2 linked regions of the Nothobranchius furzeri genome follow. The protein of the gene in region 1 purifies or fractionates together with the protein of each later gene. This does not show direct contact. Links are inferred from orthologs where the notes say so. Each region holds a gene or a part of one and is shown on either strand. Other genes may lie near its edges.

Region 1 (3,821 bases):
AGCGACGCACCACCCAGACCTCAGACAGACGGCCAGATCCCCCTCCTAGCCTCCAGCCCCGGAAGCCAAGTGACAACAGAGGTGTGCTAAGAACCCTAGTCACCCTCCGCCTGCTCCGATACAGTGTTGGTGCGTGTTGATGAGGTGTATTCGTGGCTGTGGTGAGCAGGCAGTGCAGGCATCGTCTGGCCTACGCCAGCTGCCACCACACCACCCCTCTTCCCCCCACAGCCCTCTGTGTCTAAGTGCAGATTAAAATTGGAAGTGGGCACCGGCACCTGGGATGAGGCTGAAAGAACCCCTTGCCAAATGTTGTTGAATGTGCTTACTCCCAAGGCCCTAAGTGTGTGTTTGCATGGAATGTCATTAGTGGAAGTGTTTAATGTGCAAATAAAATTGGGGGGGGGGGGGGGGGCAGGTTGCCACAGGAATGCAGAAATGGGGTCCATACCCGCACCCCCTGACTTGTCCACCCCTCAAAGTCCTATGTGCATGTTTGTGTGATGATGTGAGGGAGCAGGAGGAGAAAAATGTGTGGGGATGGGGAGGAATGGCTGGTTGGCTTAAGCCGTCCAGGGAGCTAGCTCCCCCACTGGCTCCAGTAGGCACCTCCGTTGCCAAAATGCCACCCAGGGCATGGAGACCCCAGCCCATCCTGCCAGGACCCAAAGCAGCAGCATTGCATAGCTCCACAGAGTCCAAGGGAACCAACGCAGCCCCACCCCAGCAGAATATCTACTCCCATCCCTGCATTTGCACAGCTTCCAGAATATATGACATAGGACATCCAGGTAAAGTTGGGTCCTCCCCCTCCTGGACATTCCCCTCCCCCGTGATGGACAGCAGAGGAGCCAAGGTCTACCCGAGGTCCCTGAGCCCGGGCCAGGCTCTGCCGCATGTTCCCGCCTTCTTCCCGGCAGCAGACATGTCAGGACCTGAAATATCAGTGACCCTCCTATAATCGCTATGTGATGGAACCGATCAAAGGAGCCCAAAGAGATTCACTTGAAGTGGAGGCAGAGGCTGTATCAAGTGCAATATGATCTAACAAAAGATTTCTATACTGGTTAATGCAAAGAGTATCTCTATTTTTCCAATTCAAGAGGATAGTTTTCTTAGCGATGCATATGGCATATGGACCACATGAACCAAAGATGTTTCAATTGGGTCATCGTCCAGGTTTCCCAGTAAACCAAGAGGGGGGGAAGTTGGGATATGACATTTCAGACACTTTGACATGTCTTCACATACTCTACCCAAAAATTCCTGGACATGTGGACAGGACCACAGTGCCTGGATGTAATTGTCAGGAATGTTGTTTGTGCACTGTGTACAGGTGTCAGATGACACAAACCCCATCCTGAACATCCGATGGCTTGTATAGTGTACTCTGTTCAGAATTTTGTACTGCATTAATTGTGAACTGGGGTTTCTGATTATTTAAAAAGTTTTTAAACAAGTTTGGGACCAGACGTTCTGGTCAAAGCTGACTGATGGATCCACCTCCCATTTTTCAATAGGGATTGCAATTTTATCGTCTTATATACTTTAGACAGTAGTTTGACGGGTTTGAGATTATAGAAGTCTAAAACCCTTGGTGGTGTTTGTAATTCTACTTTATTGAGCTGAAATTTTTGTTTGACTACAGATTTAATTTGGTGATATTCTGAAAAGCTATTATTATCAACTCCAAATTGGGAGACTATTCTGTTAAATGGGATGAAGTCCAATCCTTCATATATGTGTTCCAGGTATAGGATTCCTTTATTTTTCCAATCCGGAAGTTTCATCATTTTGTTATTTTGCAAAAATCTGGATTATTCCAGATAGGTGTGCGTCTGCATGGTACTAGTGAAGACTCTGTCATTTTTAGATGAAAGTTAGAAAGTTTTAGATGAAAGTTGAAATATTTTCAACTTTTCATCGCTGTCGCTCGGGCGAGGATCAATCATTGGAGGTTTCATTCCATAACCAGTGAGCGGACAGGATGCGCCTTACAACTCCGAGCAAACATGGAGGAGAAGATACTTGCTGTGACGGATTTCCCAGAACTGTACAATATTTCTACCAAAGAATATAGAGATATTCACAAAAAGGCCACAGCATGGGAAATTGTTGGTGCCACAGTTAACACATCAGGATAATCCTAGAAGTCTCTCATGAAATGATGGTATTCGCCATTTCTTTCTCTGGTTTGTAGTATGGGATGAACGTATTCTCAGGTATTTTTTTTTTATATATATATATATAGTAAAATCAGAAGCAAGATTTCACATAACTCTAACAGCACCTTGTGAAACATCATATCTACCGCTTTTTTAACTCTAAACCGCTTAAATAACCTTAATTCCCTCCAACCTGACACAGCCAATCAAAACAAAGGAAGGTTCGATTTCGCCATGGAACCGAACGCGTAGACGGCTTTGTCACTGGCCGCTGCCGCGGGTCGCCTCCCGTGTGTCGGGTAATAAAAGTGACAGCAACAAATTTTGCTGGTCGCGGTCGTTTGTCGCCTCCCGTGTATCGAGCCCATAAGGCAGCAAATTTTACTTTTAACTAAGATGCACTAAAGTGCCAAATTATTGTCTACACTTGTCTACACGTGTTTATATAGTTTATCAGCCAAAAAATGATTGACTTGGGGGTGACTTGCACTTTAAAAAATGGGGAAAAGGAAACTTGGGACTTTATCATTTACCATTTTATCATTTTTAAAACAGATTGTTATTCCCTGTGACCCCGCTGTGTTTCTTGACCCACAGCAGCAACGTTGGAAACAGCAGTTTTAAATAAATAAAGGAGTAGATTTCCATCTGACTGATTAGTAGCTTCAATAATGTAAATATTTAAGTGTAGCTGGGTCCCGTTTTATTTTTTTATAGGTTGGTTTTTTGTGTTTAATTTAACTAATCCCTCTCATCATCTTTCAGATGTTTCTTAGATCCAGTCCAGTTTCCCACAGCTATTTCGCATTCCTGTTGGTTACCATTCATCTCCTGATTCCATCGTTCAGTCTTTACTTTTATATTCTTTAACTTTTCCGTTTTAATTGAAAGCGACCATGAGAGAAAATTTGGGTGTTTTCTTTAGCACCATTAGTGGTGCTATAAACAGTCAGTCTACCCCTGGGTCAGCGTTACTGACACCACCTACTGCTCTGTGTGTCTCTCTCTCTCTCTTTCTAAAGGACATGCAGGTGTCCGGTGTGGAGGACGACAGCAGAGCTTTGAATATCATTATCCACAAACCCAGCTCCAACCCTCACGCCAAGCCTTTGCCCATTCTGCAGGCCAACTTCATCTTCGCCGACCACATCCGCTGCATCATCGCCAAGCAGAGGCTGGCCAAAGGCCGCATTCAGGCCCGCCGCATGAAGATGCAGAGGATTGCAGGTGAGGGAAGCCGATGAGGGCGTTGTCAGTAAGCTCCCTCTGCACAAACGGCCTGTCTGAACGCTTCTGTGAAGCGTGGGTTTACCAGGAAACACGAGGGTAGACGCTGAAACGTTCAGCTGATGGATGGGCGCAGCAGATAGGAAAGAGATTTTAGTTTTTATTGAACTGACCAATCAGAGCGGAGTTTTACGAAACATGATGTCATTTCCTTGAATTTGACACGTTTAACTGGAACAAGTAATTCTGCTTAATACAGAAAGTGACTCACTTCATTTATCAAGAACTGTCCTCCCCTGTTGTCTTTCCTGTATTTGTAACCCACTTAGAAAGTTCTTGCAGATTAGTTTAGTTCTATCAAATCTGATGACTTCAGGAGGTTAAACTTCCCCTCATCAAGATGTATTTCCCTAGAGATGCAGTGGGAGC
Region 2 (4,379 bases), on another chromosome or scaffold:
TCGTACCCCATGGTACACAACCTACAACCTCCTGAACAACACAATTTAAAAAAGATTAAATATAAACCACCTACACATAGTAGGTATATTAGCTGTTTTAATGTAATTAAAAATTTCTTTGTCAACAAAATAATGTAAAGGAGGAATGTGATTGTCCCAAATCGTATTGTAATGGATGACCCAGATGCCTTTCAGAAAGCAGAAATGGAGATACTTGGCAATGCTTGTACTGCAACCTGATGAGCAAATGTTTCTATTATCACTCTAGCCATTTTTACAAAACAATGCCATTAATTTGCCGCAATGCCGTGGCAGCATCAGGGAGCCTTAGGTTGTTCATAAGTGGTCAGACTGTGGCGGTAATGTGGTGCAATCGTGTCCTTTTTATAAGATTAAGGCGGTGTGTATTGTAAAAGGGCTTCTGAGATGCTGAATTATTTAATCTCACCCCCCCCCCCCAAACCGAAAGTATTTTACACAGATTTCAACACAAGAAGGTGACATGTTTCATCATGTTGTTTATTATGAAGAGGAAGAAAATATCATTTCGATAGCGCTTCTCAAGATAAAAATCACGAGGCGCTTCACAAAAACAAAAAATGAAAAAATATAAAAAAGAATTTAGAAAATGGTTAAAAATATATTTTAAATGAGCAAAAAAAATGGGCAATTGTAATTAAAAAATGTTAAGAAAGAGAGAGAGTGAACAGGAAAGAGGGAAATCAGTGGATCCTGAGGAAGGTGGAATAGGTGGGGAGAGCAGAACAAAAAGAGAGAGGTGAAGAAGGTCATACAAAAGCCAGCTTGAACAGGTGAGTCTTCAGCTGCTTTTTAAAGGAGACCACTGAGTCCACTGATCTCAGGCTCAGGGGGAGAGAGTTCCAGAGTCTGGGGGCCACAGCAGCAAATGATCTGTCACCTTTGGTCTTTAGTCTGGTGCTGCACAACCAGTAGGCTTTGATCACCGGACCTCAGGGACCTGCTGGGGGTGTAGGGACTAAGAAGATCACCAATGTAAGATGGTGCTTGTCCATGTAAGGCCCTATAGACCAGAACCAGGATCTTGAAATGAACCCTGAAGTTGACTGGCAGCCAGTGAAGCTGGAGGAGAAGCGGAGTGATGTGGGTGTGTTTGGAGGACTTGGTCAGAAGCCGAGCACAGGCATTCCGAACCACCTGTAGACGGTTCAGGGAGGTTCTGCTCAGACACGTGAAAAGAGAGTTACAGTAGTCTAAGCATGAGGAGATGAAGGAGTGGAGAACTGTCTCAAGTTCAGAGCGGGACAGAATGGGACTCAGCTTAGCAACGTTCCTGAGATGGAAGAAGGAAGAGCAAACAAGAGAAATGACATGAGAATCCAGGGTGAGAGCTGGGTCAAAGGTCACGCCAAGATTCCTGACAGAAGGTTTGGTGTGGGAAGCAAGCTGACCAAGAGAGTCTCTGACTTTGGGAACCAGCTTGTCTGGGGCACAGATGAGGATCTCAGTCTTATCTTCATTCAGCTGAAGAAAGCTCCCAGCCATCCAGGTTTTGATAGAGTCTAAGCAGGTGTGTAACAGCTGCAGCTTAGACATCTCATGGGGCTTAAAGGAGATGTACAGTTGGATGTCATCTGCATAAAGATGGTAGGATATTCCTTTGAAGGAGCTCAGGATGTGCTGAAGAGGAAGCAGATAGAGGAGGAAGAGCAGAGAACCTTGTGGGACACCATGGGTAAGGGTGGTGGTGAAGGACCTAAACTTGGAGACGGCCATAGAAAAGGAGTGCTCAGAAAGATAATGTAATATAGTACAGTAACTAATTCTTTAGCTCACTGTTTGTATATATGTGTGTGTGGTTGTTTTTTTACATTTACATTTATACACTTGCTACGCTACTAAATACCAGTACTGTGAAACAAACCTGGCTAAAACTAAGATGAGAAGGGTTTTTTACACTATCTATGAATAATTACTATCAAAAAATGATTGACATTTTGTCAAAATAATAATTTACAGTTCTGGTTAGAACATCTTGTTTACCTCAAACACAAACTGCCTCAAATATTTCCATTCAGCTCCTCGATTCCTCACATCTGGCAGAAATGCTCTGCCTGCCTAAAAAGACACAGACCCTGCCTGAATAAAAAGGAAAAAATTATTGCATTTAAAAAAAAACTTTTAGTCTGATGATTGTAAACCACATATGCAAGAACATTAAATCCCATATCACGTATACACAATGTACTCAAATGAGTTTAACTAGCTGAAATCTGAGATTAAGTACTTTCTAAAAAAATTTACCATACCGACAGTTTTTTTGGAGGATAAAGAATTTGAACTTTAAATTGAGCGTAGCCATTTTCATACATATTCACATCCTCAGGCTGACTTTTCAACGTGATTTTACAATAAACATATTTATCTACTGTCCTGGTTAACAAATGAATGATTCCAAAAAATGAAAAGAAACAGCTTTGAGATCAACATGTTTCCATCATATTTCAGAGCAAGGAGCACAAAACTTAGCTGAGCATCGAGGTTTCTCAATGTTATCTTCACGCATATAATAACACTTTAAACTAAATCGTAAAAACTTGATTTTTAATAACGTAAACATGCGTCAAAGAGAAAAATATCTTAATGGTTTACAAAGTACAGCAGCACAGTTTGACTGTCACGATTTCTGAATATGTAACGTTAGCTAGCCCAGCTAGCGGCTACGCTGTCGTTGGTTTCCTTTGGACATTAGCTATAAGCTAACCAGACTGACCTCCGTTAGAGACAACTTCACACACCAATAGCTGTTTACAGTCAGCTGCACTGCTCAAGATATAACAGCTGACTGATATACTTACTCAGACATTGAGTAAAATAGATCCTTTTCACAATTCAGGCTGTTTTCAGACGTCGTACCAACACTAGCCCCTTGCTAATCACGTCTTGGTGCTACGTCATACAAGTCTACGTCTCAATCGACACGAGGGGAAACGTCATCACGCAAAACTGCAGAAATCCCAAAAGTGAATTTTATAATGAAAAATGTCTCTCTTACCGAAACAATGTTAATCACTAACACTGTCGAAAATGTCCTTATCCGGTTAAAACTTTCATAACGGACTGCTGTTTCTTTGTACATTCTTTTTTTAATTGTCTGTTTGTTAATCAGTTTTGGGTAAATAATTGTATAAACATTAATCCGGACTTCAAGTTATAATGGAGAAATGTGTTATTTGGGTTCCTCAGAAATGACATTGAGATTAAAAAAACACATTAATATTATAATAATGTAAGCTAAATGCCATGTTGAAAAGTTTGTTTGTTTTCAAGAGCTCAGACAATACATTTCCTCCATTATGATTTCATCCAATAAAAAAGCCTCAAATGGATCAATTTTGTGAAATAATTGTTAAGCATCAGTCTAATGTGCTCTGTTATGCTCTGTTATGTTATGCATCTGTGTAAATTTGTAAATAAGAATGTGTGTGTGTGTATATACATGTATGCTTTTATACTGAAAAGTACCTGTAGAGGAAGTTAAACTTTGACCTCGTAAATTGACCAATAAAAGGGAGCATTGGTGTTTTAGTGGCCGCAATCAGTGTGTGCTACCACCAGTGAAGGCCCGTGAAACAGACGCTCTGTTTATGGATTTATTTCCTCCTTTTTTTAATCCTGGAGATTCATTTTGGAGTCTTGGACCAACCGCTGGGTAAACGAAACTCTGCTAACAGGTTATGGGCCCAGCACGCTTCCGCTGCGCACCAAGCTAATCAGGACAGCTGGGAAAGCATCCTGCTAGCGTGTGAGGAGCACAGAACCGACCAACAGCAAGTCCGGTGAGTCGAGTGAGAGCTACGACGTGTGTCGGACACTATGAGTCGGAAGACAGTGGAAGCCAGTACCCGCTGGTCAAGACTGGTATTTGACGGAGACGAGGATAAATATGAACTGTGGGAAACAAAGTTTCTCGGACACCTCCGGCTACAAGGTTTGAAAGACATTATATTAAAACCGAAAGACGATGACGATGATGAGGAATATGATTCAAAGAACGCAGAGGCATATGCCGAACTTATACAATTCCTGGATGATAAGAGCCTTTCACTGGTGATGAGAGACGCAGCTGACGACGGGCGGAAAGCTCTAATTATCTTGAGAGAACACTATGCCGGGAAGGGAAAACCCCGCATAATAAGCTTATATACAGAACTGACTGCATTACAGCAGAAGAGCGGCGAGAGTGTAACGGATTATGTTTTGAGAGCCGAGGCCGCCATTACAGCGCTGAGAACCGCAGGTGAAACTTTGAGCGATGGACTGCTAATAGCAATGGTTTTAAAAGGTCTACCTGACTCATTTACGCCTTTTAGAATCCATGTGACACAAAGTGATGATGA

The links.
Region 2: the proteins of clec16a (region 1) and rnf41 purify together in Homo sapiens (affinity purification with mass spectrometry; 3 studies listed by BioGRID and IntAct, with this or other methods). This does not show direct contact. The link is inferred for Nothobranchius furzeri from reciprocal best matches to the Homo sapiens genes CLEC16A and RNF41.

Annotation. Positions count from the first base shown.
Region 1 is NC_091752.1:63,103,232-63,107,052, forward strand, and holds part of clec16a (protein CLEC16A), read left to right. Parts: intron 1-3,187; coding exon 3,188-3,392; intron 3,393-3,821. UniProt on the Homo sapiens protein: Regulator of mitophagy through the upstream regulation of the RNF41/NRDP1-PRKN pathway. Mitophagy is a selective form of autophagy necessary for mitochondrial quality control.
Region 2 is NC_091755.1:37,149,365-37,153,743, forward strand, and holds the start of rnf41 (E3 ubiquitin-protein ligase NRDP1), read right to left. Parts: upstream 2,963-4,379; 5' UTR 2,838-2,962; intron 2,119-2,837; 5' UTR 2,023-2,118; intron 32-2,022; 5' UTR 12-31; coding exon 1-11. Other genes in the region: uncharacterized protein, read left to right, coding at 3,856-4,379. UniProt on the Homo sapiens protein: Acts as E3 ubiquitin-protein ligase and regulates the degradation of target proteins. Polyubiquitinates MYD88. Negatively regulates MYD88-dependent production of pro-inflammatory cytokines.